Linked DNA regions of Astyanax mexicanus. The protein of the gene in region 2 purifies or fractionates together with the protein of the main gene of each other region. This does not show direct contact. Links are inferred from orthologs where the notes say so. Each region holds a gene or a part of one and is shown on either strand. Other genes may lie near its edges.

Evidence for each region.
Region 1: the proteins of nup43 (region 2) and sec13 purify together in Homo sapiens (affinity purification with mass spectrometry; 3 studies listed by BioGRID and IntAct, counting the BioPlex papers as one, with this or other methods). This does not show direct contact. The link is inferred for Astyanax mexicanus from reciprocal best matches to the Homo sapiens genes NUP43 and SEC13.
Region 3: the proteins of nup43 (region 2) and nup160 purify together in Homo sapiens (affinity purification with mass spectrometry; 5 studies listed by BioGRID and IntAct, counting the BioPlex papers as one, with this or other methods). This does not show direct contact. The link is inferred for Astyanax mexicanus from reciprocal best matches to the Homo sapiens genes NUP43 and NUP160.
Region 4: the proteins of nup43 (region 2) and nup98 purify together in Homo sapiens (affinity purification with mass spectrometry; 4 studies listed by BioGRID and IntAct, counting the BioPlex papers as one, with this or other methods). This does not show direct contact. The link is inferred for Astyanax mexicanus from reciprocal best matches to the Homo sapiens genes NUP43 and NUP98.

Annotation. Positions count from the first base shown.
Region 1 is NC_064431.1:1,059,218-1,066,760, forward strand, and holds the start of sec13 (protein SEC13 homolog), read right to left. Parts: upstream 3,155-7,543; 5' UTR 3,015-3,154; coding exon 3,012-3,014; intron 1,327-3,011; coding exon 1,282-1,326; intron 1,174-1,281; coding exon 1,058-1,173; intron 425-1,057; coding exon 273-424; intron 1-272. Other genes in the region: cand2 (cullin-associated NEDD8-dissociated protein 2), read left to right, coding at 4,280-4,347, 5,037-5,180, 5,487-5,641, 6,511-6,634, 7,301-7,543. UniProt on the Homo sapiens protein: Functions as a component of the nuclear pore complex (NPC) and the COPII coat. At the endoplasmic reticulum, SEC13 is involved in the biogenesis of COPII-coated vesicles.
Region 2 is NC_064408.1:49,355,897-49,363,337, forward strand, and holds the start of nup43 (nucleoporin Nup43), read left to right. Parts: upstream 1-4,291; 5' UTR 4,292-4,406; coding exon 4,407-4,526; intron 4,527-5,959; coding exon 5,960-6,082; intron 6,083-7,045; coding exon 7,046-7,123; intron 7,124-7,441. UniProt on the Homo sapiens protein: Component of the Nup107-160 subcomplex of the nuclear pore complex (NPC). The Nup107-160 subcomplex is required for the assembly of a functional NPC.
Region 3 is NC_064417.1:10,773,147-10,781,381, reverse strand, and holds the start of nup160 (nuclear pore complex protein Nup160), read right to left. Parts: upstream 3,069-8,235; coding exon 2,952-3,068; intron 1-2,951. UniProt on the Homo sapiens protein: Functions as a component of the nuclear pore complex (NPC). Involved in poly(A)+ RNA transport.
Region 4 is NC_064424.1:13,490,995-13,498,806, forward strand, and holds the start of nup98 (nuclear pore complex protein Nup98-Nup96), read right to left. Parts: upstream 3,150-7,812; 5' UTR 2,969-3,149; intron 622-2,968; 5' UTR 594-621; coding exon 515-593; intron 129-514; coding exon 33-128; intron 1-32. Other genes in the region: nsrp1 (nuclear speckle splicing regulatory protein 1), read right to left, coding at 6,873-7,641. UniProt on the Homo sapiens protein: Plays a role in the nuclear pore complex (NPC) assembly and/or maintenance. NUP98 and NUP96 are involved in the bidirectional transport across the NPC. May anchor NUP153 and TPR to the NPC.

The DNA.
Region 1 (7,543 bases), on a different chromosome or scaffold from region 2:
AAACCAGATCTGCTGTTGAAAATGTGAATGGGCTTCCTGGGGAATGAGACTGAACCTTCCTCCACCCCCCTCAACTCTACCACTCCAGCAAACACCTCTATCAGGTCACTGGTGTATCATTATATGGTAAAATTATCCTTTTTGAGAAGATTCTATTGAATGAACTGATATGTCAACTTTATTTAAAAAATATTAAATTGTTTATCACAGTAAATTTATTATCCATTAAAATAATTTATTGTCCATTAAATCATAAACACAGCAGAAGGTACCTGAGGAGTTGTGGCCTGTGTATTTGTACATCTTATCCCATGTCCCGTTCTCCTCTTTCCAGATAATGACTTTTCGGTCATAGGAACAGGAGGCCAGGATGTTGCCGTAGGTTGGATGAGCCCAGGCTACCTGCCACACTGGACCTTCATGCCTGTATAAACAAAGATAAAGAAAAAAGATGAATACAATCAAGAACAATGAATAAATTTGTGCTGAAAGCATTCATTCACTTCAAATTAAATATTCGATTAAATGACCTAATGACTCTAAACTGTAAGACCGGATAAGTTGAATTTACTTCAAAAACTTGAGGAAACCGGTTGCCTCAAAAAATTAAAGTAATGGGGGATGAAAACTTAAGTTATCATAACTTAGAACATCAATTTATTACAACTAAAGGAGAAGTTGATTTATTTGTAAGGTAGCCCAGGGGGAATCACTACACACTGATGGTGAGTGTTAGTCAGAAACTGTTGGACACACCCAGTATGCAAATAGATTGTGACAGAAGCCAATGGAAAAGAAGCTGTTAATGGCAAAATAGACTAAACTCAGTTATTAACAGTTGGTTCAACTCAAAGAACTCAGTTTGAATAGTACAGTATATGAGCTCACAAATTCAGTTCAACTAACTCAAAATAGTCAATAGTTGAGTATTGTTTAGAAATATCAAATTTTATGTAAAACAGACTTAAATCATTTGAGTTTTATGGGTTGTATGGGTTTACAGTGTAATAATATTATAGCAACATTAATGAATATTCCAAAAAATAAAACTGCCTACCCCCTCAAATCAGCCACAAGAATCTGTCCTCCATTCTTTACATCAAAGATCTTCACAGAGCGATCAGAGGAGCAGGTCGCCAGTCGTGTGCCATAGTAGTCCATCTGGGCATCATGCTGAGAAAGAAAGAGAAGATAAAGATGATGATAATGATTATTAAAGAATTCTCAATCAGGCACACAAAATAGACCAAAGTTCACTAAAACCACCAAACCAATACTTACGATCATGTCCTCGTGTGAGGTATCCACTGTATTAATTACAGACACCTGAAATACAAGAGCAGAAAGGAATGAGTGATGGAGAATTAACTATTCAAAGTGTATAATAAAAAAATTATAATAGTATAATAAAAACGAAGCTCTCACACACACAGATGATCAACACACCACTAACACAACCATTACACAGGTAATCCTCCTATACATCCAAAACCTCTGCCTGAATGTTCCGATCAGGGCTGTGACGATTAATCAATATAATCGACAGTGTTGATTATTTAAATTTGTCGACTACAAATTTTAATTGTCGACTAAGTGTTCATTTGTAACAGTACTGCATTACACAAAGGGCTGGGAACAGAAGCGCAATGGGTGATGGGTAAACGTCTTAACTTCGTCTGCCTCTCCTAAAGTGCCCAAATTGCCCAAAAATGCACAGATTTCAAATTAACTCACTAAATATCAGCACTTTTCACAACATCCAGACATTTAAATATAATTTTAAATATTTTAAATAACGCCTTTTAAATATAATTTGTAACTGTTTTTATTGTTTTTAGAGATGGAGAACATGACAGAAATAATTGTTGACTAATCGACTAATCCACAAAACAATCATCAGATTAGTCGACTAACAAAATAATCATTAGTTGCAGCCCTAATCCCCCCCCCCACACACACACACACACAGACAGAGAAAGAAAGAAAGAAAGAGAGAGAGAGAGAGAAATGGCAGATACTTATCTCTTTCTCTAATTCTTTTCTCTCTATTTATTTCCACATATTATACAAAAACGTATTTGTTTCTCTATTGTAGCTCTTATACTTTCGCTGTTGTTGTTCCTTAATATCTGACTTTTTTTTGCTATATTTTGTAAGGTTTTTTTGTCTCTCCCCTTTTTGGCCTGTTATTTTGCTTCTATTACTATCTCTCTATTATATGCACCATGATCACAGTAACTATACCTCTGTATACACACTAATAAAGCTAATTATTCATTTAAAGTGGGGGTGGTGTCTGCTGAAAAAGAAAAAAAATCAGAAAAGAAAGCAAAAACTAAAGAAATCTGTAGGCGACAAATAACTTACTTTATCACAGCTCTGTATAAGTTATATGACTCCAGATCACTCACTAAACTATGATATCTGACAATTCTAATAGCATGCATAAGTTTTAAACGTATCGTCACGGGCCACTTCTGGCTGTTTTAAACCCATATTTACTTCTTTAATTTTTTTTTATTTAATAAGTTTGGCTGCAGAGTTATGCCTACGTGGATAATACTGGATATACAGCTTAAGAATTATCCAACATCAGTACACTTAAATAAACAAGCTATAATTCACGAAAACTAACCTGAATTAAAGTTTAATTAAAGCTAAAACAACACATTTAGTTTATTTCAGTTTATTTATTATTTTTGTATTGAAATGAATGGAAGTCTAGGCTAATGTTTCCGTTAGTCACTTTAACACTAATCATCTTTTATTCAGATCATCTTTAACCTTAAACACGAGCAGTTAATCCACAACCAGTTAATAAAAGTGTATCTTTACTGTAAATAAAGGTTATAATCGGTTTTACGCTCTTTATTTATTATATTACAGAATCCGGGTGCTAATGTTAGCCTGTTAGCTCTCCGCTAAATAACAGCGTTTTTTACCGGTTTAAACACAGACAGCGGTCAGAAACAGCGGGATTAATCTGAGATTATTAGCGCTTTAATACTCACCATCTTCCTTTATTAATCCGGATCCAGAGAAACTATAAAACAGTAACTTTATCCGGAGAGAAAATCAGCCAAAGGGCAGAACTGATCTCTACGTGGCAAACAGACCGCCGGTTTCATAAAGGTTCCGGGTGGAGACACGGACCCGAATAATAGTTCCGAAGCTTCTGGATTTCAGCACAATTTAGTTTAAACATTGAAATTAACAGAATTAATAAATGATCGGTGCATGAAATATGTCATCCAGAGCGTTAGAGTTTAATAAATAATTACCTAAATTTAATAAACTGTTCCACCAGTTTAATGAAAAGTAGTAGTAATACGACTGCTCTTACTACTACTAACAATAACAATAATAATATTTTTTTCCCCTTAATTTAATAAAGGATTATCTCAATTTAATTGAATAAATCCTCCCCTCGTTTTTCTAAATGTTCTCTCAGTGTCCTAAATTATAGACTTCAATAAATAATTACTACTATTTAATAAACTGTTCCCGCAGTTTAATGATTAGCGTAACAGTAAAATTAATAAAAAATAATAACAACAACAACAGTAATAATAATAATAATAATAATAATAATAATAATAATAATAATAATAATAATAATAATAATAATAAATATTTTATTTATTAAAAGCCCATTCCTGCCGCCTACAATATAAAAAACTCTAATTTGTATTTTTAAGTCAACTACTATTTCATTATTTTGATATAGTCTTTGTCTTACCTGCTTCGGTCTCTGTACAGTCTACTAGTATTTAAAAAAGGGCTTGGAATTTTAAAATACTAAAAAAAAAATGTTTTTCTTTTTTAATTTTAGGTGGTGGGAATGAGCTTCCGTAAGTATAATAAATTAATAAAAATCATTTATAAATCTCAGTCCGGAGATCAGGAGTTGTATTGTATTGTATTTTATGTTTAATCTTGTAATCTGTATAGTGGCCACAAGGTGGCAGTCTATCTAACGCTGCAGGCCCTGTCCCATTCCCTCCATACTCTCACCCTATACTGTAACACTACGCAGAGAGTTCCTGCTTCTTAAGTGCCCTAGTTAGGCTGCATGTGTTCCGTTTGGAGCGCCCTGAGTAATATCGCTCTATTAATATCTGTGTGCTGTTGAGTGTCGTGTTTCTGAGTTTACTCTGCGCCACAGAGCCGCTCTGAATCACGCGTTATGATCCTGACCTGAACACTTCTCTCTCTTTTTACCCCGTTCAGACCATAATCTCGCTTTATTAGTGTTAATTTAGAGTTTAAAAAAGTCAAAATGTCGAATATCACCTATTATATTTCCAACTTGTTGGAAAAAATGACCTCAACTGACAAAGACTTTCGGTAAGAGAGGCTGTGTGCGCATGCGGGCGTGGAATTAAGTGACTAATATTAAAAAAAATACTTTTTACTGTTAATAAACTTTTATTTTAATATTTTAATGTTTTTCTTTTGTCCTGTTAACAGCAGACCTGTCAGTTTAACCCTTTACTAAACCCTGAGATTACTCTGTCTCTGTGTCTGAATATTACACAGCTGTTCATCATCCAACAACTAAAAAATAATATTGTTTTATTCTCTGTTTAAACTTATAACAATAAAATTATTGACCTTTAACATAATCCATATATATTTTATTATTTTAAATGATACTACAAAACTACAAATTGTACATATCACCAGTTTCTAATGAAAAACAAGTATATTCATTTTTTTTACTAAATAATTTGAATGCATGATCTGTCCCTTAAACCAGGGGTTCAATAATGCATTTTTTTTTAACTAGCCTTAAAAAAACATTTAAACATACATATATGCATGTAAACTGAATTTAAGAACATTTTTTAAAGATACTGAATAGGAACATGACAACTACATGTATAAAAGATACTACAATAAAAATAAATAAATATAAAAACTGCACATAATAAATAATCTATCTGTTACATAATAATGCATTACAAATTCCAACACCTTTCATTAAACACACTTTTAGTATTTTTACATGTTTTTTGTTTAATGTTTGGCTTCAGGTTCATGGCCACCAATGATCTGATGATGGAGCTGCAGAAGGATTCTATAAAGCTGGATGAGGACAGTGAGAGGAAGGTGGTGACCATGCTCCTGAAGCTTCTGGAGGACAAAAACGGGGAGGTTCAGAACCTGGCCGTCAAATGGTGGGAAATTGATTGATTGATTGATTGATTGATTTAATCAGATCATGTTGAATTTTAGCTGTATGTGGATCTTAAACAATAAAGATGCCAGAATTAAGCTGTGGAGCAGTAAACCTGTGATCTCTGGCATGATGGTGCGCCATCCAATACCTTTAGAAAGAGTTGGAGTGCTGTAATGGAGCTTCTTAATGTCCTTGTGTGGCAGAACACGATCAGATCCTGATTGACGCTTTCGGACATGCAGACAGATTTTGAAAGGGAACTTATCTACATGTTAATGATGTGATGTATTAATGATGTGTGCAGTTTAGGTCCTCTGGTGAGTAAAGTGAAGGAATATCAGGTGGAGACGATGGTGGACGCGCTGTGCTCCAACATGGTGTCGGATAAGGAGCAGCTCAGAGATATCTCCAGCATGGGGCTGAAGACAGTTATCGCTGAACTGCCCCCAGCGTCTGCAGGTAACAGTCACTGCTAATCTGATTAATGCATGATGCCGATTTGATAAAGAGATTAAGCTTTCAGTCCTTTATTAACTTTATAAGTAATGTAGTTGATGCATATGCAATATATTTGAGTTATTATCCATCTTATCAGTGTCACTGATCATATAGTTCACTCTGTAGTTCTATAATAATAATTACAGACTGTAGTCCTGTAGTACATGTTTCTCTGTACACTGTATATTATTATTATTATTATTATTTTCCTCATTTCACCCTGTTCTTTAATACTCAGAACCCACAGGATAAAAAAAAAACACCACAGAGCAGCTGTTATTATTTGGGCATGGTGGTGGTGTATGAGGTGTTAGTGTGTGTTGCTCTGGTTGGTTCAGTGAGTGGATCAGATGCAGCAGTGCTGCTGGAGTTTTTAAACACTGTGTTTAATCTCTACTCTAATGTCCTCCACTCTATTAAACACTCCTACCTACAGTTGAAACACCTTGTAGATAAAATAAGTGAAACAGAAGTTGCCTATCTTCTAGTCCTTCATAATTGGGTGCAGGACTCTACCCACAGGACACAAACCACAGGATGCTGGTTGGTGGACCATTCTCAGTGCAGCAGTGGCTCTGAGGTGTTTAAAAACTCCAGCAGCACTGCTCCTACCAACCTGTGGTGTTCTATCCTGTGGGTCCTGAGCTTTATAATAATAAAATATACAGAGAAACAGATACAGAACTACAGTCTGTAATTTGACTATTAAAAAGTGTCCTCTACACTTAATAAAGCTGATACTATGTATAGTAAGTGCAGAAACAAGAAAGTGATTATAATATTCTGACCGGACTGTGTTTAATTTTTATTTTCCTCCACTGTTTTTTCAGGTTTGTGTCTGACTGCTAACGTCTGTAAAAAGATCACATCTCAGCTGATTGGTGCCATGGGGAAGCAGGATGATGTACCTGTGCAGCTGGAAGCCCTGGATATCCTCTCAGATATGCTGGGAAGGTCAGGTCTGATGTCTGATATCTGATATATGATATTGTCATTGTTAAAACCTACTTATAGAACATGTGCCAACATGTGCACATGTGCCTAGTCCACTTCATGTTCTAAACTACACATATCGCATTATTTCGCATTTTGCCAGTTTCAGTCGCTGAAGTTGATTCTGTAAATAAAGTGTTTTCGGCCAATAAGAGCGCTTAATTTTCACCCAACCACACATTTTCTAGTTTGTAGAGTGTGGAATATGGAGCTACACTAGTGTTTATTTCCTCTATTGAAGATCTCAGTTCAACTCAGTATCTTAACATCACATTAAATGATTAACTTGATTCTAGTTTAAAAATAATTAAAACTACCCTGAGATATTTAAAAAACTGTTAAAAAAGGATCTAGAAAGAAGGAATAAATCATGAAAAAAATATTTTAATTATGATTAATAACATAATATTGTTGTGATTAATTGTTAAGTGATTGACACCACTAATATATATATATATATATATATATATATATATATATATATATATATCATTAATTAATTGTGTGTATAAAAGTGTTTGGGATGGAAGGCCCATTCAAAGTATAGCCCAGGACCCCGATCACCTTAATCCACCACTGCCTGCAGGAGATCTTATTAGCAGTGTTGATGTTTTATGGTGTTTTTAGGCTCGGCAGTACGCTGGTCAGCTTTCACCAGTCCATTCTGACCAGTCTGCTCCCCCAGCTCACCAGTCCACGCATGGCGGTCAGGAAGCGTGCCATCATCGCCCTGGGTCACCTGGTGCCCAGCTGCAGCCCCGCCCTCTTCACCCAGCTCACCGAACACCTAATGGGGGAGATGACCAGAGGGGGCGCTACAGCCAACACTCGCACCTACATCCAGTGCCTGACCACCGTCATCAGGCATGG
Region 2 (7,441 bases):
AAGACGCGCGTTCGCGTCCAGCAGGAGCAGAGCGCGATCTTGGACTAATCCGAGCACGTGATCTGGAGACTTTTGAGGGGAGACAGATTTGGGTGGTTTTGTCGCACAAGACAGCAAATAAGCTGTTTTTATTAGTGAAGTTGTTCTAAATATGGAATAATCCTGGCCTACTGCTAAATACAAATAAAGTATTTATATATTTGAAAGTTTTAAAGTATTAAAGTTTTAGTATTTCTTCATAGTTTTTACACACTTCTAGCAGTTTGTACTCTTGACAGCTAACAGCTAATTACATTCACTGGCAAAAAAAAGATGCACTCTGATCGATGCAAAACTTGGCGTGACGTTAAGACTTAAAGGACCAACATGTAATTTATTTTCAGGAGTAAATGACAAAATGATTAGGATGTATCATCAGATATTAAAGAAACATGCTGAGGTAAAGCACTGACAGCTTTTCAGCCAGTACATTCCAAGGAATGTGTATAGCTGGACAGAGCATCGTCTCTCAAAAGTAAAGCCCCCACAGGTCAGGCGCCCCCTGCTGTTCGGTTGCAGAAAGCTGTGTAACCCCACCCATCCCCATAGGTTTCAATGGCAAAACAGACAACTTTCTATCACGTTTTTATATTGTTAAATCTTCACAGAATTCGTTTCTTAAAACGTTATTCAGCTCTATTCAAAAAGGTGTGGTTATTGTAAAAGGGCTGGTTATTGGCGGGACCAATAACAGACCATCAGCTCCGCTCCTCTCTGTAGCCTGTGACCTCGAGGCAGCCCTCAGGGGTGGGGTTATTTAAATGAGTAGGCTGTCTCTCCACAGTCTTTCTCCCTCCTCTGGTCTCTACTGCGCAGACTCAGGTATCAGGATCATCAACATGGCTTCATTTTCATTAAATGAATGGGAACGACGACACAGCGTCAATCTTTTTTACAGTCTCTGGTACATTCCTATTTAGATTATTTGTGCAGTGCCTCAGGGTATCTGTATTTGTTTTGGTCTCTGACTCCTCCTCCTGCTGCTCATTCCCCAACATTAACTCCACCCCCGAGGTTCGATACACAACAGTGAGCGAGCGGTGCTGCAGCATAGAAGCTAGCGAGCAGGGCTACACAGCCTAAAAAACCTCAGCATGTCTCAAAAAATATCAGTGACCGAAGAAGAAATAAAACAAGAGTAAATATTGGCAGTGAGTTTAAAGGTTTCTTTGCCTCTCCTACCAACAACACCTGCCCAGTCTTCACTGGCTTCGCTTGACAGCAGTAAGGGCCCATCATAACTGAGATCAGGTTAGAACTAGATCAGGCTGCAGCAAGATGAAAAGGTAGGACCTGTGAAGAAGTAACTCTAACTCTAGGGTGTGTATTTTTGGAGCAGTGGGATTTTTCTGGTATAACAGGCTTGGCTTAAGGTAACACCGCTAGCGGTGCATAAAGCTAGGTTAGATAACTACGGATTAAGTTCACATGAGCTGGTTTATAATGTGCAAATAATAAAAACACTCCAAACACATTCATTAGCTAAATAACTTGCAGAGTATGACTCGTCGTTGCTTGCCATCATAGTAGTTACTGAACTACTATGGCAACCCGAGTGAGCTTCGTGTCTAGGATGCATGGCTCTTTGTGTTTTGAAATTAAACTGCAGTAGCTATTTCACACACTCGCTCTTATTACCTACTGAATGCTCCTTTAATAAACTCTTTTTACAACTACATTTTGTCACTTGTCTTTTGTTTCCTATTCCTGTTTGTAATCATTAGCTAATCAGTTCAGCACAAAAACTGTATAGATATACTAAACATATTATTTGACTTAATTTATAATTCTAAACATCTCATTAGAAATCCAAGCTAGTGTGAGATGATGCTCAGTCCAAAGAGATCAACATTAGCCTTTTAAATATTAATGAGTGTATCTGTTTGAAGACTTATGTGACCGAACATTACAGGAAGGATGTACATCTACTTCTTAGCACAAAGTTAGCATGAGAATGACTTAAAGGGGAAATCAGGGAAAAGCTAGTGGCACACAGATGGTAAAAGTTGGTCACTGTTGTAAAAGAAAGAGTAAAAGTGTATCCACTATGCTCTTCTCTAATAGCAATTTCCACTACACTACATTCATATGCCTTCAGCAGGGGTTATGGATGTTGTGAATTGAATTTATATTGCACACAACACGAACATGCAGCACCAGAGGTCTTGATTTTCATTTGCAGATTTTAACATTAACAATCAATAAGTTGTGTATTGAACTCTAATGCTGCAAATCAGTAGCAACAATCGGTATAAGTTATGTGTATAGTCTACACAGGCAGGATTCTGAAGAAGAAACCCACACAATCATGTCTAAATTAAAGTTTAGTTATCCTGTCTTCTGGTTAATTGAGCAAAAATCTAACTGATGTCACTCACGGTTCTAGGGGCAGGGTCACGGGGGCATTGGCCCAGCTGAAATCTGATTGATGTTTCCCTGTCCTGTCACTTATCTTTCCTTTCCCCCGAGAGTGATAATCACAATATACTTGGATGCAATTCCATGCTCAAACACTGAGCCAAATAATAATGTCCAGGGTGATTAAAACTTATGTAGGAGAGATTTTTTGAACTGACAGTATTTGTGAAAAATGTTTTAAAATAAACTGCTGGTTTTTCTTACATGCTCTGTGTATTTTGTCTATACTGTAAAAATGCATGTAAAATTGGTAAGGAGATTTTAATAAAATTTTAAATTTCACACAAAAAATATATGCAATAAAAAATTAATCAGAAACAACCAAATATTCCAGAAAAAATAGACTAGCAGCAAAATGCAAATGCAAATAAATTTAAAATAATAATTATATATTTTTTATCATTTTCAAATAATATAGAAATTAGCTATATTTAAAAATCTTTTTTTCTGTTTTGAAATTGCAACATTGCATTTTGGCACACAATGTACTCCATGGATACATTCTATTGTTTGTAATTGGTAAAAAAAAAAAAAAAAAAAAAAAAACTTGCCCCTCTTACGCCATACTAAAATATACTATACTCATATATACTGCTAAAATAAAACCATAACGCGAAGAAAGCTGAACATTATTTTTTTTATCAGTTAGCTCTCAGGAGGTCAGGAAACCTGTGGATTAAGATAATCACAGGTAAGATAGTGTGTGGGCTGCAAGGCATCGACTGCTGCGTTTCAGACAGAAACATTTAGTCGTTGCGCCAAAGGGTGAACAGACCTGTCAGTGGAATTTGCGTACTTAGGCTGTGGCTACGATCTCATTTGATCGTAAGCTCCGTTGTTGAATAGCGGCGGTAACTATCAGCAACAGCCAGATAACCTCTAATAGAGAGGAGAAAACTCACTAAAGAATCTTTTCTTTGGGTTTGTAACACCACTAGATGGCGCTCCCGATTCTAGAATTAATGGTTCATATTGAGCGTCTGAGCCGCAAATTCATAGATGTTTAATCATTTTCATACTGGAAAATGTACTAATTTCCTTAACACAAAACAATACCAAATCATTTAAAACGCTTTTAAACTCCAGATATAAACTTTTTAAGCTTTATTGTACACTTACAGTAAGCTCACAGTGGCAGTAATGATAACGCCTCTATTAGAAAAACCTGCTTACTGTAAAAATAAAACAATTTAAAATATATAGGTTCATTTTATTTGAGCAAAACACATAATTTACTACTTAAAATTAAAGAAATATCCTGGAGCAGTGAATTGTTACTATATGTGTTCGCGTTTTTACCCGTTTAGATCAATTCACCCTTAATTAATTATGGACTCGCTCGCGGGCTCTCTCTAGCGGTTTTCAATAATGATCTCATATAACGCTGGAGATGAGAAATGGGGAACCGGGTGTTCTGTCGAGTTTTGCTACCCATCGATACGTGCTTTCTAAAGACAATGCGCATGCGTTGACCTACATTTAAAAAATATTTCTTGTGTGTTTTTTTTTATAATTCTGTTTTCTAGCGTTTTTTTTGCATTTAGCAATATGGACTCATTGTCATTACACAAAAGTGAATTACACTTAATAAGAATAATAAAAAAATATATATATTATTAAAATAAATGCAAAAGCAATTTATAATATCTATCATAACTTTACCCTGAAACAGTAATTTAGGCTATTCAAAAAAAACAGTACATAGGCTTCTGCTGGGAACATGCTCTAATATGGTGCTTCTTTTGTGTTTTTCACCTTTATTATACACTAGGGTAGGACGGTTTGACAAGGTAGCACAATTCGACAGAACGCTTTGCTGTAGTGTTGTTAGGTTTGTCTCCTCAGAGCCGCCGTAGTTTGGCGGAAGGAGGAGCTGGCGGGAGTCCGGAATTCTGAGCTGAGTTTAAGTAGTAGAAGAGCGCGAGATAAAGGTGGTGTTTAATTCAGTCATGGAGAGCATCAACGCCAAGTATGTGTCTCAAAAGATCAGCAAAACGCGCTGGAGGCCTGTACACGCGGCCGCCCTGCACCAGCCCACCTGCTTCGCCACCGGATCCTGGGACAACGAGGTACCACCACTCACACTCACTGAGACACACAGCGGAGTCTCAGACAACTGTTTCACAGTATCATATCCATTATTGTTGGGTGGTGGGTCATTCTCAGTACTGCAGTGGTGTGTTAGTGTGTGAATGGACCAAACACAGCAGTAACTTACTGCTGGAGTTGTTAAACTATGTGTCCACACACGTACCATACAGTATCTTACAAAAGTGAGTACACCCCTCACATTTGTGTAAATATTTAATTATATATATTTTTATGGGACAACACTGAAGATATTATACTTGTGTAAAGTACTCAACACACAACCATTAATTTCTAGCAAAAAAGTGAGTATATCCCTCACCCCTCAATTAGCCATTTTCCTCTCAGGTCCCACAAGTTACACGGTCTCAGGTGTGAATAAGGAGCAAGCCTGGTTTGGTGTTTTTGGTACAATTCTCTCATAATGGCCCATAGATATTCAGCATGGCACTTTATGGAAAGAAGATGTGAGAAACAGAAATGTTGCTCTCCACAAATATGACCTAGGCTATGTAAAACATGACTAGTTCACTCAGTGTTCTGAGTACCATAATACCATAATAGGGGAGAGTGGATGATGGAGATTACCAGAACCACTTTTAATGAAGCACAACCGGGAGGCTACGCTTAGCCACTATAAGAAGTTAGCAAACACCCTAAAACTTAGATACAGTACAATGGCCTAGGTCATTATAGCAGTTTTTCAGGACTGGTTCCACTCAGAACTTGCCTCCCCAGCATTGCTGCAGAGCTTAAAGAAGTGGGAGTTTAACCTCCAGTGCTCGGAACATAGGTCCCACACTACATCAACTCTGTCTGCATGATACTGTCCCCAGAATGCAGCCTCTTCTGCAGCTGAAGCACAAGAAAGCCCGCAACAATCCAAGAACAAGGATTACTGAAACTGTCATGTGGTCTAACAAGATCAAGATAAACTTGTTTGGGTCAGATGGTCTTCAGCATGCCTTGGCATCCTGGTGAGAAGTGCCAAGAAAACAGCCCCTTTTCTACAGTCAAGCATGGTGGTGGTAGCATCATGGTTTGGTGCTACATGAGTGCTGCCAGCACTGGGTAGCTGGATTCCAGCATGTTCTGTGATATTAGTCCCCTCTCTTGGGAAACTGGGCCACATGTCAGTTTTCCAAAACCTTTGACCAAAAAAACACCCACTAAAAAGAACAATTGCTTTGCTAAGGAAGGTGAAGATAAATGTGATGGACTGGTCCAGTAAACTCAACTGATTAAGATTATAGTCCAAGACTAATTGTAGCGTAGCTAGCTTACCACTTGCTCTTCTGACAGGTGATCAAGCAGTGTTTTAACTTTTGTTGACTTTTGTTGACTTGGATGAAAAGCAGAAAACTGAAAAACTCAAGCCTTTGTGAAACATGCTGAGTGACTGTTTATTTCTCAGACTAATCAGGTTTGCATCTGGGGTGTGGGAGAGACTGGAATGGCCTGTGAAGACGATGAGCTGGAGGGAGATCCACAATTACTGTGTGAGTGTAAACATGGAGGAGATGTGCTGGACTTGCAGGTCAGTCTCATAAAAAGCCATTATTGTGGAAGTGAGGTTTCAGTTAAGATATTTTGTCAAATCTGAGTGTTGCATGCATTTTATGTGTATTTATGTGTCTTATTTCTACAAGCTGTAATATACTGCACAGGGTTGTGGTTCCCTAAAAGCACATTGACACATAGATGATTGTTTAGCTGTTGAGTAGCAATTTCACTGATCTTAACCTCTACAGAGTGAGAGCATTTGAGTACAATTTGCATATTTTTTGTAAAGTATTAAGCTTGTAATAAAGTGGAACTTTACTGTAAAGAGAACATAAAATTGAACTTCCATTGCATATTTATCTATGCTTTCAGCATCTATAAGTAAAAGATTATCATCAACATGTCTATAACACACATTTAAAATATGTGCAATATGTGCAAATTAAAATTAATGCACAGGTTTTACAAAGGACTTTATTAAAGATTTTTTATGCTCTTCATACTTGATTTCTGCTGCATAGCATTTACATACAACCCATGGCAGCATTCAGCTCTGGAAAAAAATAAGAGACCACTTAAAATTGATGAGTTTCTTTGATTTTACAAAATTGTAAACCTCTGGAATATAATCAAGAGGAAGATTGATGATTACAAGCCATCAAACCAAACTAAACTTCTTGAATTTTTGCACCAGAAGTGGCATAAAGTTATCCAAAAGCAGTGTGTAAGACTGGTGGAGGAGAACATGCCAAGATGCATGAACTTAACCATTAGCAAGGATTATGATTAAATGTCTTTTGTCTTTTTAAGACCCTGTGTCAGACCCCACTTTAGTTCCTCATGGTCATGATTAAGATCAAGTTAGACATTATTTTAGGTAGTAGTTGGTTAGTACTTGTCAGTTGCTGAAGAGTGTGTGTTTTTTAATTAACAATAGAGGACATTTTATTTAATTACTATACATTTGATTACTGTATTTTTTTCAAATCTTCTTCAGTTCCTGGATCAGGAAAGGCTAATTACAGCATCATCAACAGGAGCCGTGACCATCTATAAAATTCATGCTGACAGCCAGGTATGAAAGATTTTCACCCTCTGTATATGAGCAAGAACTAAATTCAACTTTAATAAGCTGGGTATGTGCTAATATATATTTATATTTTGTAAATGTTTATTTTGATGAGGTATTGTTACAGTGTTGTAAATTAAAACATTTTTCATAGTAGGAATAGGATTTGACTTTTTTTTTTAAGCATGTGTGTTTTGTTTATTTTGATCATATGTGCATGCATGCATAGTATTCTTTGCATTGAGACAAAACATTATTACTAGTCTCCCTGTCGTGTATATTGTTGATCTTCCTTGTGGCACAAAATAGTTTTGTAACAAGAGT
Region 3 (8,235 bases), on a different chromosome or scaffold from region 2:
ACCCAGCAAGTGAATCTAGCCTGATTAACGTTGCAGAGAGATAGCAAGCTAGCTAAACCTGATTCTTTAACTATGACTTAATTTACCCTGAACTGGTTATTTTTTTGGTTTAATGTCAAAATGAGTGAGGGGTAGCGTTAGTCCAGCCATAGCTCTTTAGAATAGCCTGCTTAGCTAGCTAGCTAAACAATATCCTACTGTGGGGAACCTGATCTTACAGGCGTGTACACTTGCATGCTTAGCTGGACTGTATTTGGCATTTCACGTTCATGTTAACAATAATTTTATGTCTGATTTGATATTACAGATTAACGGTGGAAACAAAAGTAAGGTTAAAAATACTTTATGAAATAGTGTTTCTTTAAGACACTGGCTGGCATGCGAAAGTTTATAAAGTATGCTGTGCCCACCTTATTTGCCTGGAAAGATCAGTGAAGCCTGTCAGGAGGGCTGTAGTTAGACATACTGCAGGGTATTTTTCACCAGTCACTAAATTATTTACTAACTAGCTAGCAAACTAGCTAACACATGAGTTTTTATACAGCAAACAAAGGCGATTACCTAGCTTCCACATCATGAACCTAACAATTAATCCAGTTTCTGGAGCCTTTTATTGAAACAACCCAGGGAAATCTTGCACTCATTTTCGGACTATTTCTGATTTCACCGTTAATTCAGGGAGGTGTGCAGGGTTAGTTGTCCACACAGGCGCTGCCATTTAAACTGCTGGCTCCGTTGCTACCTTGGAATTTCCGGTTTAGGAGCGAACCCACAGCCCTTCTTTTGTTTCAACATGGCCGCAGAGTGAGTAAGGTGCATTGGTTTGTAGAATTGTAGTAAAGAGATGGAGCGTTCCTTTGTCAGGTGTTGTGATGAATTCTAGCTCTTTGTCAGAATCTGACTCCTCCTCACATCCTTTCAGCACAGCACCAATTGTTTTTTTCTGGTTTGTTTACAGTCTGCCTTATCTTCCTGTTTTTGGTCTGAAAGTCCAAACCATCTAGAAAAGTGTTCATATTGCAGACAATCCGGACCATGGTTAAGATGGCCACATCTTTTGCATCTTTTGATTGAACAAAACTTTGTGGCTTATGCTCCCTCACCCATTACTTGTTGAGCTAAGTGTGAATGCACCCTAAATACAGTATTGGGACTAGTGGTGCGAATCTCTCAGTGACTGGCGATTCGATTCAATTCGATTCCGATTTTTGGGGTCACAATTCGAAATTCAGAAACGATTTTCGATTCTTGAACGATTTTTTTATTCAAATGGCCTATACATTTTGTGTAAATTATGTGAGAAGATAAAAAGATGAAAGGACAATTAAAAAAAATAGAAGTTTTTTTTAAAACAATAAACTTAGGATCCTTACTGTATTAAATCTTTTTGCAACATACCGTACTGCGGAGCTCATCTACTGTTGCACAAAGCTTTTTAACTGTACCGCGGAGCTCACCTACTGTTGAACGGAGCTTTTTAACTGTACCGCAGAGCTTTTTAACTGTACCGCGGAGCTCACCTACTGTCGAACGGAGCTTTTTAACTGTACCGCGGAGCTTTTTAACTGTACCGCGGAGCTTTTTAACTGTACCGCGGAGCTCACCTACTGTCGAACAGAGCTTTTTAACTGTACCGCGGAGCTTTTTAACTGTACCGCGGAGCTCACCTACTGTCGAACGGAGCTTTTTAACTGTACCGCGGAGCTTTTTAACTGTACCGGGGAGCTCACCTACTGTCGAACGGAGCTTTTTAACTGTACCGCGGAGCTTTTTTACGGTACCGCGGAGCTGACATACTGTCGCGCTGAGGTTTTTAACTGTACCGCGGAGCTCACCTACTGTCGAACGGAGCTTTTTAACTGTACCGTGGAGCTTTTTAACTGTACCGCGGAGCTCACCTACTGTCGAACGGAGCTTTTTAACTGTACCGCGGAGCTCACCTACTGTCGAACGGAGCTTTTTAACTGTACCGCGGAGCTTTTTTACGGTACCGCGGAGCTGACATACTGTCGCGCTGAGGTTTTTAACTGTACCGCGGAGCTCACCTACTGTCGAACGGAGCTTTTTAACTGTACCGCGGAGCTTTTTAACTGTACCGCGGAGCTCACCTACTGTCGAACGGAGCTTTTTAACTGTACCGCGGAGCTTTTTAACGGTACCGCGGAGCTGACATACTGTCGCGCTGAGGTTTTTAACTGTACCGCGGAGCTGACCTACTGTCGTGTGGAGCTTTTAAACTGTATCGCGAAGCTGACATACTGTCATGCGGAGCTTTTTAACTGTACCGCGGAGCTCACCTACTGTCGCTTCACCCCCAAAACATTTTTTTGAAAACGAGAAACGATTCTGAATCGTTCAATGTTGGAATCGCAATTCGAGCTCGAAACGATTTTTTACTGCACCACTAATTGGGACATTAGGTTATTTGTTGTCTCTTTAAAAAACAAGTGTATTAAATAAGAGTTCATCTTTTTGTTGGATGAACTGATTTGATTGTATTTAATGACGAGTGTTGTTAAGGTCAGAAGGATGCAGGCTCACCCCAACTCATGACAAAAGTATAATCATCACTGCAGTGCTTCTTTCATTTACATTTTCATTTATATACATCCATTTCTGCATTTCAGGCCTGCAACACATTACAAAGAAAGTTGGGACAATCCAATTTGGGTCTAATAATGAGGTAATAATAATATAATTAAACCCAGGAGAAATTCTGGTGTTAAAGGGCAAGACCACAAGCTTAAGCTTTAATCATTAAATACACAATGCCACTTTACTTTGCAAAGCAGTCTGCTCCAAAAGTTTTGGAACCAGTCCCTTTATTTCTGCTGTAGACTAAAAAATTTGAGGTTGACATTAAACATTGGGATTCCAGTGTCCTCTTTAGCAAGTAAAATGCATGCAGTTTGGAGATTGAATATGTCAATCTAAAACCTTTCACTACTTGCCTGCCGGCAGCTATTTTGCATAGCATATTTGTCACTGTGCTGTGATGAGGACAGGTCGTACTGATGCGGGTAGTTTCGCATTTGCTCACACAGCTGCTCCTTAAAACTTTTTGCCATTTAGGACCTGCTGAGTGTTGCACTGCCTCCTAGTGGTTGTGTGTGTACTGCACCTCCTGAACGCATCACATTAATTTCTGAAGATGCTCAAAACCATCGCTCCAAGCGAACGCAGAATATGTGAGGCAGCCATCATGTGTATACATTAGAGATGGGATGATCGATCGGCGGTGTATCGGTATCGGCCGATTTTCAGCCAAAATACGGTTTCTGCGTATATTCCTCAGATTTTAGCCGATCCGATTCAGGAGTTTAAGGTTAAGCAGTTAAGCAGTGCTGTGTGTGGTTGGGTGGTGAAACTGCTCGCTTACTAGTCGGAGCTGCAGCAGCAGCACAAACCCCGCTCTCTTCACTCAGTCAGAGCTACAGACCAGCCACGGGCTACAGAGCTCAGCCAGTCTGGAGTTTTTTTCAGTTTTCTTAAGATCATCTCTGTAGGAAATAAAGGTTTTAATCCCACTAACCAGATTATACAGCTCTCTACAGTCCATCTTTCTGCCCAACCAGTGAGCTCACAAACTAACAGCAGCAGTTTAGAGCATCCGTCACGGAGTCACTGCTCGGATTACATTATAAATTAGTGCGCTGCTCACCTCAGGATGTTTATAACTACGGAGTTTAGTGGACACGCCGCCAGGTTAGACTGTTGAAGGCTACTGAAGACTATTAAAGGCTATTGGAGGTTATTGAAAGGGTTATTGGGGGCAGAAATCAGTAAAGGCTGGTTAGATAAGTAATTCACGTCTTCGCCCCTCGCTGCGGTGAAACTGTGACTAGCGCTGTCACTGTGATGTTTATTAACATCATTAAAACAGATTTTGTTCTTTCCAACTATTTGTGAATTTAGTTAAAAGCTCTGTTTTATTGCTGTAATGTTACTTACTAAGAATATGGAGTTTAAATCAGGTCTGTGCTCTTAATTACAGTTTATGAGGGCAGACAGAGTCAGGCTGGATTTTTTTTCCCAATCTAAGCTCTAGCTGGAGCGATGGATTACTGTTGTTCTTGTTAAAATATTGTATTATTATCTATATATTAACAGTAAGTGAGATATTTTAAGCAGTAAGCTGACAAAACAGGCTGAGGCGGCTGATGTTGGGAGACACATTCCTGCGGTATTGAAGTATAAATATAAAAATTTTGGTGTCTTTTAAATATTTACACATTACTTGTTTCTCTCCTGAAAAGTGTTTATTTTGGTCAGTAACACTCTTGTGTTTATTTACTATCAGCGTAAATTACCAGTGTTTGCTTAGGTAATATTAGGGGAATCTGTACCAGGTTTGCCTGGCACCTGTGTGGCATTAATGTGGCATTTGCCTCCGCCCAATATGGGTATCAGCGATCGGCGATTGGAATCGGCCCCAGAAACGCTTATCGGTCCATTTCTAGTATACATAAAAATAACAGCAAGTATATCTCTATAGCCGAAGCCTTATGTGGACCATGTTCAGAAGCGTGTTGACTACTCTGGGCTGAGAGGCATCTGGGATGGTCAGGGGAAACAATTTAAAATCTTTTCTTGAAGAAATTATCTGGACAAAAGGATACAAAAAATATGATTTAGATGATGTAATGAAATGTAATTATTCTGACAAGGGTACTGCAGTCCTGACCTGTCCTCAATAGAAAAACGTGTGTAGAATAAAAAAAAAAAAAGAAAATACGAAAATTGTCCTGTGCTGTTACACACCTTAAGGCATGTTTACAACTGTGCTTAATCCTTAGAAACTGACCCATTTATAAATCAATTATGTAAATTAAAACCATATTAGTTGGAACTGTATGAGGCACTGAATCATTTTCTAAGGAATCAAGAGTTGAAAGAAAATGAAAGAGACTCAAACCCTTGACATACATGTTTGTTAATGAGCGCCACAAGCTCAACACTCTCAGTTCCTTTATTTAACACGCACGCACGCACACACACACACACACACACGCACTTACTTACTTACTTATGCTGTGTAAACATTTTAAAAAGTTAAAAGTGGTGTTATGAAACAGGGTAGGATGAGAGTCGGCTAAAGTAATGCACTCATCATGCCTAGTGCCTACTGTACAAGCCTGTGCTATGATCTGGGGTTGATGATGTTGTTGGTCAGATTTAGTTTCAACAACAGTATGTGCTGAAAGAATGAGGTCAGCTGACTGCCTGAATATACTGAATATAGACCAGGTTATTCCATCAATGGATTTTTTCTTCCCTGATAGCACGGGCATATTCCAAGATGACAATGCCAGGATTTATCAGGCTGGAATTGTAAAAGAGTGATTCAGGCTGAAATAAACTTTTAAAATTTTATACCACATAATATGTAAAAAATTAAATAGCTTTCTTGGAACTCATTGTGGAGAGATGTGGACAGTTGTCAAAGTAGGGGATTTCACTTCAACAAGGCTTTCTAGCAGCTCAACACCGTAACACTGTTACACGAGTTAAACAGAACAAAGTAAATTGCGTTATTATAATAATTTAAAATATCAGTGTTTATTTCCAGACCATCATTAGAGAGAGCTGTGTGGGCAGAATATGCCACGCCTGATTAGTGAGGCCATTCATTATTCTCTGTTGATATTAGACTTTCCCAGTATTAGCCTCTCTCTGCCTCAACCAAGAAAGGAGGAATATATAATTTTTTTCAACATGAGAAACATTTTGTACACTTTGTCTGCAAGATTAACCTAATTACAGCGATTTAGTCCCCTGCTTTAACCTCGACTGCAGCACTATGTTGATCCTCAAGCAGGAAGAATAAAACAGGTTAAGAAATGTGCATAGGCATGCATGCAAGTGTGTGTTTGTGCTTGTATCAGCAGTTTGATGATTTAAAGATTTCATTTTAATTTAAAATGGTAATTCAGGTAAAACTCTAATCACAGCCCAAACATAGTTAATCAGAAAATAATTCTGGAGAAAATAATACTATATTAACCATAACTATGCTGGGCACAGATATAATTTAATCCGTCTGTGCAGTGAGCACACCAGTGAGTACCCTTAAAACACACACGCGGTGATTAGAGCTTAGATTGGGCCCAAAAAATAGACCTATTATTTAATAAAAATGTTTATTAAAAACAGCTGCACAGCCCTACAAGTCAAAGGCGGACAAGTGGAGAAGCTTGCGTGTGCCCAGAGCTGCGTGATTATGACGTTCTAACTGGTGCAACTTTTTTAAAACAATTTGATTTGTTACTTACAAGGTTATAAATGTTTAGAATTTTTCGTTGTAGTTTAATTTTATTTTGTTTCCAATTCCGTTAGTTTTAATTAGTTTTTAGAGTGGGGTTTGCTATTTTTTATTAGTTTTTACACATCACACCAGAGAGATCAATCTGAGAAACACATAAACAAACTCAAAAAATCAATAAACTTTACAGGTTTCACTAATTTTTCAAAATGATCAACTATGAGTGAGTGCGAGAGAGAGAGAGTGAAAGAGAGAGAGATTTATCAGTTCATCCTCCCACGTGGGGTGTTGTGGTGTATGAGCTACTCACAGGTAAAGATACTCTCAGCTGCTTCTCAAATGTACTTTAGCTGTGTGGAGTTTATTCCATATACTCTATCTCCTGTTTCTCTACGAAACATCTGCTTTTATCTCCCTCACGCTCATATTCTAATCCCATACTGAATTCTGCAGTTTCCTGTTGTTTCCTGATGTCAGGGTTAACGTAAGCGCTGTAAACAAGAACTAACGCCATGGACCGCGAGGTGCCGCGCGCTGCCAAAATTTGCCTCCTGCAGAATCCGGCTTCCCTTCGCGAACAGAATAGCCCCAACACCGCCCGTGGTAAAACTGCTGAAGTGGAAACAATGCTTATGAATACACAAAAAACAAAGGGTATTCTATCAGTAATTCCAATTCATTTTAGTCAGTTTTATAAAAACACAGTACAGTTTCAGTTAGTTAGCTTTTTTTCTTTAATTACTGTTTTTATTAGTTTCAGTTAACTAGAATATTTTTTTCATTTCAGTTTTTGTTATTTTTCATAATTTTTCATTTGGTTACTTAGCTATATTGTGATAATCACGCCAGAGCTTTATATTAAAAAATAGCATTAAAAAAACAGATGCCTACGTCTCAGACTATTTTCTGGAGCCCGACCCGACCCGGCCTGAGAAAAGTGGTGGGATATCTCAGGCCGACCCAGCGCGGGCAGAGAAACTAAACTCTAACAGTGATACAGTGAGCACACAAACCTGGAGCAGTGGGCTGCCATCATATTGCCAAGAATATTGTTTTAGGTCATTATTGCATACCCCTAAATGTTCTGAAAACATTTATAAACATTGATTTAACTGATACAAATATACACTGATATATAACATTTAAGTATTATTAATATGTCTGAAAAATGTTTTGATAATGTGCCAATGTAGTTATCATATTGTTGCTGCAACAGTGTACCCAGAGAATTTAACAAACTAAAGATTTTAAGAATCAAAGTCGAGTTGATAACATTCAGAAAATGTTTTTAGTAGCTATGAGGACAAGGCTTAAAATTGGACAATACACATAGATAGCCAGTCGATTCTTCCGTCTGTAATAATGATCAAACGTTTACTGTGTCACCCAGTTCTGTGACTTTCAGTAACTCAAGTTAGACGCAGTTTCTGTTTTCTATAAACATGAACTAAAGGCACAGTTCCAGTCTGATCTAACTGCTGTGTTGAGCTGTGTGGTCTGCTTTAGTTTGTGGGAAATCGGTAATATTTTGCTGAATAGTTTTTCTGAGGGTTGACCGTTGAATCAGCTGGAAAAAGCAGAAGCTGCTCACTCTCAGTATTCTTAGTTATTTCATTTCAGATAAAGTTTCAGAAGTAAAGCAGCTCTCTTTCTTTTTGTCTTCTCTCTCTCTCTCTCTCTCTCTCACTCACACACACACACACACACACACACACACACACACACACACACACACACACACACCCTGAGAGGAGTTTTGAAATCAGAGCTCACTGAAGATCCTGAAACAGAATAGTCAGAACAGCCTGCAGGTGTGTTCAGTCCTGCTCTGTCCGCCCACTTCAGAGCCACTCATACTCAATACACACACACACACTGCAAAAAAATGTAGGGCAGTATGTAGAGTAGGAGTATAAATCTCATAACAATTTAATTAGGATTCTTCAGGAAATGATTCAGGGAATCATTGAATT
Region 4 (7,812 bases), on a different chromosome or scaffold from region 2:
TGCTCAATAAAAGGTTCCAGCAAGCAGTTTACCAGGTTTGTTCTGTGGTGTCCCAAAGAGACCTCCTGTGTTATTTGCGGTCCCAAAAGCTGAGGAACCAAAGCCACCTGTTGTTCCAAACCCAGTGTCTGAAAATTAAATGTTTCAATGTTATAAAAAGGTAATCTTTAAAACAACCTATTCTGCTGGATACAATTGACATCATAATTGGACACAATCTTTGCATGAATCTTAGTGTGTGGCATTTATTCATGAAAAATCCTATAGAATAGCAGCTGTCATGACTAAAGGATATCCAAAGACAAATAAAGTAATGCAATCAGTCATTATGTGAGAACTCTTGTGCTTTTAACATTAGACTTATTCATTTTCAAACATTTGGTTGGGGGAAAAAGGCAAACTACATAGTTTTTACTCTGGTTGCTAGCAACTTGGTGCTAACCACATTTTTTTCAACATAGAGAAGAAATCCAGACACTCACAGTAAAGATATTTAATTACACAGTTTACTTACTTTGTTGTCCAAACGTGGATGATGTCCCAAATCCTCCTGTTCCTCCCCCGAAGGGAGCACCAAATGATTTGTTAAACATCTTGGACTGCTATACACCCTGCATATGTCTGCCACAAATAACAGCAGTGTGATAAAAGGTCAGTTTTTGTATTGTGATCAAACATGCAGCTTATTATTCAACTCAGTACACAACTCATCTGTGCTCAAAACATCAGAAAGTAAGGAGAGTATAAGAGGATAACTTAAGGCTACTTAACAGCAGAGGAAGATTTTACTTTCATTTCTCAAATCATCACATGAAACCTTACATAGCTATTATCACATTGTCAGAAAATGCACTGTAGCATTCAAAGCCTGCTTGGCTGTTACATTCCTAATTAAAAGCACTGGTTATCTGGCATCAGAATAACACAATAGTAGGTAGTCTGAGCAACTGGGTGGGCAGTACAGTAATATTTTTATCATACTATTTTTATCATACTTTTGTTAAAAAAATAAATTTTCTGAGCATACTGTGGGTTTAAGTGCTTGCAGAATACTAACCAACTGACCAACATTTATTACAGTGTGTGTAAATAGATATGTTTAATAGGAAACGTCCAGCGAATTTAAAATGAAACTATATCACCATACTACCGATGAAACAGTGTTTAAAACAGTGTTTGAACAGAATAGAGTTTGAATAGAGTCTTCTGCAATGACGCCTTTGTTTTTGGGTCAAAATATAACAATAAACATCGTTTATAACTTATTGTAGGGGTGCGGACACTTTTTTCTACTCTGCAAACATAACCATTTTTCGCTGCGTGATTTAAAAGGAACAATTACGGTCTCATTATTTTAATTGGCATCGCTACCAAAATTTATACCAAGTAATTGATATCTGCCAGAAATAATTTACTTTACTTTACAAAGTGCATTGAGCAATGTTTCATTATTAATGATTGTCAATTCTGTACATTTCCGAGGAAATATCACAATAAATATCACAGAGTAAAAGAATATTAAAATGTCCCTAAAAGCTCAGAAAGACACAGCATAAGCCATGACGACCTAAACATCACCAATTATCAAATTAATAAAAAATAGATAGAAAATAAATTGCACGATTGCTAATTAATATACAAATGTCGCTGTAAAGAAGGTCACAATAATAGAACAGTCCTAACTTTTCTTTGTTTGGATAATATTTAGGGATATCAGAAGCCATTGTTTCCATTACATTAAATGTATTTTTTTTAAATATACATATTTTACGAACAGTAAGCAGCCCCAATTCAACCCTACATGCAGCTTTTATATTAAACTCTAAACTGTATTTCAGTTAAGAAAAAGTGTAAAACATGAAAATCGCTGCAATATCATTTTTTAACAGGTTTCTGGCAGAAATAAATGTATATCTAATTAGATTTTCTCTGCTATATGTAAAGTCTTAAAATCTCAAATATTCCATTTTGAAAATGCTATTAAAACAGTATTAAACAGTACATAATTTGATTAACCTTTCAGCCCTAGAACACACAATAACTAAATATATTACGTTAGTAGTTACATCACAGTAGGAAATATATACATAAAATGTATAATGATAAACATCTTGTATAATGAAAACGTCTTTAAATATCGTAAAACAATATATTTTATAATAGTGGTCACCCCTACATTTCAGCAACTGGTCGCAAACTTTAGTCAGATAATCCTGAGCGCCAGAAACAGGCCTAGCTAATGTTGGAAACGGGCCCGTGTGTAGCTAAAATAGCTATCTAGTCAGTAAACATGGAACGCATGCTTTTAGATACATAAACAACACGTGAAAAACACACCCTGCTAGTTTGTAACCAGTCTGGTTCAGTAAAACTCGCTGTGTGACCGGATTTATCCTGAGAAAACCAGTGTGTTCAAACATGCGCCGACCAGAGGCAGTTCTCTGCTGGCTTAAGCTAGTTACATTGTTTTCGTTAACACTAACTCTTAGCTAGCTACAGTAATGCTCGTAATTTAATGTTTGTGGCGTTTCTTAACTGTTTAAATCACATAAAAACAGGTTAACATGAAAATTAACGTAAACAGAGGAGAAAACATGAAGCTACACACAGCGCCAGAGGCTCCCACATCATGTGCGTGAACACTGGCCGCCGCTACTGAAGAGGCTAACGCTAGTTAGCCAGCTAGCTAGCTTTTAGCTTAACGAGCTGTAACAACTCCAGTTATAAACAACAAAACACTGCCCCGCTTTACACACAAATTATAAACAAACACGCGCCGAATACTCAGCAGAACCCATTTTCAGCTGTAAACTACACTCATGTTGCGCAACTTTTGAACTGTACACACAGCTGAAGCGGCAGCAGGCTAACTATTCAGCTAGTCTAGGTTTAGCTTAGCTTGCTAAGCCGTTAGCATCGGAGTTTCAGAAAACCAGCTCAGCTACAACAGTTCTCCTCACACACTCACCGCGCACACACAGCGGCTCAGAACGTCTCAGCGGGATCTGCTAGCGCTTCTCTCAGGGTCTTCAAATTTCGCTCTCAGCCAAACTCCGCCGTTCCCTCAGATTCCAGGCATTTGTGTGAGTTGAGAAACACACTGTGTGGAAGGAGGGAAACGACAGGCGAAGCTAAAGCAGTACAAACCTACGTCAGACCCGCACATCAGCGGACGTCACCACCCCGCTTCTGTCATTTTCTCCACACATCCAAAATAAATACATTTATTTTTTATAATGACGATTCTTTGAGATAATAAAAAGAATGAATGTTTTAAAGTGGACTTCTCTTAGTTTATTTGAGATACAACACATAAAAGGAACCATCCACACTTTTGTTCCTACTGTAAAATGTTATATTCATAAATACATCTTTAATTCGCAATTTCTTTAGATGAAGTAAATAAATCATAAAACATTAGCCCCCCCATTATTATTATTATTATTATTATTATTATTATTATTATTATTATTATTATTATTATTATTATTATTATTATTATTATTATAGTTATTATATTAAGTTATATATGTTTTGTAGTCAACTAAGTGGCGTAATGCTCCAACGATTTGGTGGTTGTAATAAACACAAAAAGATGCTTTTAATAATCAGATATGCATAAACAGGCTTATTAGATTTGAACAATACTATCTATCATTACTAACATTTATATTTTGTTATAATACATAATAGTATATGGTTAATTATATCATATTAAATACTGTATGCTCTGCAATGCTGTCCACAATAATTTCGATTTTTAAATGTCCCATTGTGCTTTTACATCAGTACATTTTTCTAGATGTATATATTTTTGTAGTTTTAAATGCTAGAACGTATTATATATATATATATATATATATATATATATATATATATATATATATATATATATATATATATATATATATATATATATTGATTTCAATGGATTTAAAAATAGCCTTTTATAATTACATTGTTTATTTTAGAACATAAATAAATTAAAGGTGAATGTCTAAATATACCGTAGGTTATACCGTAGTTTGTTTTTATTATAATTTTATTTTATATAAATGTCTTACTTCTAATACTTTTTGCTGTGTGTAATGCCTGATCTTTGAATAAGTATTTTGTACGTAATTTCTATGTAATACGTATTTATAATATAAGAATGTGTACATTAAAATAAAGTAAAATAAAATTAACTAAAAAATCCCGTATATCCGGTGTTACGGAGTAGATCTGTGTGCTTCGCAGCGGAACATGAGCAGAACGTCACCAGGCGGCTCGGATATAACTGGAAGGACGACGCCATTCAGTCTTTCTCATACGGCTCCGAGAGGAAGAGTGTAGTGCAGAGATGGCTAAAGTCTGTATAAGCAAACACCATGGGTGTGTTTCCAGTTTTTACGCATTAATGGAGAAATATCTCACTCGACAATGGCTTTCGATGGGCGCGAGTTGAGATAATTTGTGCTTACTACATTAGTTAAAACCTAGTTACTGAAGAGTTCAGGAGAACCACGTGGCTGAAGGAGGCACGATGCGGCACAAGGTAACGTTACACATTCTTCACATATATAATCGATAATGAATATCGATACTGATACTTTTCTGTAGTTCTGAACGCGGTTACAGAAGTGCTATGGTATCTTAACTTCTGTTTTAAATGTGTTTCCTATAGGTATGGTGCTGCAGCCCTGCATCTCACAATAAACTATGTCCAAATCCACCACAGTGCAGGGCGGAAAGGAACAACTGAGGCTTGAGCCTTATTATTAAAAGGTGAGAAACGTTAATTCGTAAATTAGTGTTTTTTCACGTCTCTGTGAAGAAAACTTTGAGTAGGAAGTGCCGTCTTATGCGATAACTGACGATTTCATTTATTCAAATAATCTGAGAGACCTTAACCTAATAATGTAACCCTTTAGTCACTAGTACTAGTTAATGTTTACCATTTCACCCTTTCATTCACTGCAGGCAGAACCTCCTTCCACGTGCTGGAAGAAACAATTGCTCGTTACTACATGAGTTAATAAGGTAAGTCGTTTTTTGGCTAAAAGATTTGGTTAATTATGGAGGTTATGTTAATAGTATGTCCACAGTTCACTTGCAGGTTGCAGAATTTACTATTAAACATGCCATCTACATGTGCACTTTTATATATGTTATTAAAGATTTAATTATTTGTTTAATGCCTGATATGTAATTTTATTTTTCCCCACTTTTTAATGCAGTCTTTCTATCACTTTTACTGCTGTAGTTACATCCCTGCCCCCCTGTGGGATTTAAGCATTCTTGGTAGTAAAGAAATTAAATCGAGATTCATTTAGTTAGTAAACAAATGTAGTCCTGATATGGTGTAATGATGAAACCTAAACTGAAATAGCTGGAATTACCGGCAGAAGGTTCAGTGGTGATCATCGGTTTTCTGAACACACAATAGCCACTTGCAGACTTTAAGGTAAAAGTATGTGATCTCAATCTAACAACTTGTTAATTTTTACAGGGACCATGTGATCCAAGGATTCAAGAAGATTTTAAGTAAGGCGGGGTGAGTACACTGCTAACCCTGTTCTGTTAAATGCCTCATGTTAACTTGTGATGAAAACAAAACTGAGAGTAGCTGGAATTACCGGCAGATTGTTCAGTGGTGATACTCGGTTTTCTGAAGTTTTAAGAAATTTTAATTAACTGTTAAATTTGGTTTCTGTACTTGGTTTTAATTTTTTTTTCCATCTTCCACTCAGGCACTGGACAAAGCAGTAAAAGCTGTTGAGCGGAAGAACGTGAAAATCAAACCTGCAACAGTACATGTGTGGCATGCGGAATAAAATTTTTAATTAAATAAACTTGTTAACCTGACCATTGGTGTGTCTCTTCATCTTGAAGGTTTAAGCTTTTCCATGAATTTTAGTATTTTCCAGAGCAAATACAATGATTACTTGATGAGGTTTTTCATTACTTTTATATGCTATAATTCAGTAAAAGGAAAAAAAAACTTCTAAACTTCATTCTAAACAGTCAGTAGCACACCAAATTTAACTTGTTTAATCAGGTGGGCAGTCATTAAACTGCATCTGCTTGGCTGAAAAACCTGTGCAGCCACACCAGCTCTGTGTAGGCAAGGTTTTAAATGGTGTAGATTCAAGGAAGAAACAAGGAATTGAACCGGTACAATAACACCTGTGGCCAAAATGAAAAGTTCCTTGCAGATTAGAATAGCACCCCTACAAATTTGCCTGAGAAATACCTCAACCTTCCTTACTCTGGTGGATTTTTTTTAAAGGAAGGGTGAAAATAATGGTGTGCCTTAAGGTTTCATTACTTCAGGGGGGAATATGCTGGTCTATTGCAGTTTAAGGACTTGGTCACATAGCTAAGAAAACCCAAGGGAAATTAACAATGGGCAGATACTGGTCCAGTTTCTTTTTATCAAGCTGCAAAGAAGTTGTATAGCATAAATCTAGGGAAGTCTGACCCTCCACATCCAGTAATGTGACTAATGCTCATATGCGCATTAAGGCAAATGAACTACATTGTGCACCTGTACAAAAATGTACATTTTTTTAGATCAAACTTTATAGCTGGTGAATAGCAGCACATCAGTAGTATTTTGACACCAACTTGACAGCGTTTACATGAACATTTAACAGGGTAAAAGTGTGGTTTCTTTACTTCTGTCCCTGTGAATTAGACCAAGTCTCTGACAAAAAAAAAACTGAATTTTAGCGAAAATGAACCACATACTTTTTTTTAATAAGCACAAACAAGTTACTGTACAATTTGAAATTAAATGGCAACTACAGTGGAAACATGACTTCCCTCAGGTTAGTCTAGTTACCAACATCCACCATATGTGAAACAGTCCCTGCACAGTTGTGTGCATTTTAGTCTTCATCTTTTTCAATGTAGGACTTTGCAGCCGATCGAGCCATCTGTCGAGCCAAATATCTTTCCCGGGCAGAGCTCACAGTCTGTTCACTGTTGCGTTTTGCAAATTTGCTGGGACCTGGTTCTGCCTCAACTTCAGCACCACCTTCAGCTTGTGCATCCTTTTCTTTCGTCTTCTCATCTGCTTGGGTATTTTCTTCCTTCTCTTTTCCTGCATCCCTTTTGCCCTTGTCATCTGTTTTGTGGTGGTCTCTCTCATTGTGTCTGTCCCGATCCCTCCCTTTTTCTTCATTTCGTTCATGTGCTCGCTCTTTTGGGCTGCTGTCTGTTCTGTGTTTCTTCCCATGCTTGTCTTCTTTGTCTCTCTCCCTGTCCCTGTCTCTTCGCTCTCTTCCTCTGTCTTCATCCCTTCGTTCTCGTCCTTTCTCTTCCTCCCTGTCCCAATGTCGGCCCCTTTCTCCTCTGTGGTCCTTGTCTTCTTTGCGATGACCATGCTTGTCCTCTCTTGCTCTGTCCCTCTCTTTTTCTTTGTGTCTCCTCTTCTCCTTCTCTTGTTTCCTTTCCTTCTCTTGTTCATCGCCACTGGCTGAGGAAGGAGACCTCTGTCGGTAGTGCCTCTTGGAGTGGCTGCTGTTGCTGCTTGTCTTGCTGAACTCTGATTTTGAAGTCTTCTGGTCATCATCGCTGTGGCGTTCGTCTTCACTGTCATTTTCTTGTGGTGGGGAGTCCACAACTGGGGACTTCTGCTCCTTGGGTTTCTCTGCCCTGGGACATACATTAGTATGGCATGTTGTAGTAAGTTTTACAGTTTTTGTGTGATTTCAAGTGTAAAAAGTTAAGTGCCAAAAAAATACAGAAGAGATCCTTTTCACCCCAACTACACAAATGTAACGAACTCAGAATTCAGGATTGGTCTCTTTACAGTTTGAACTTTAA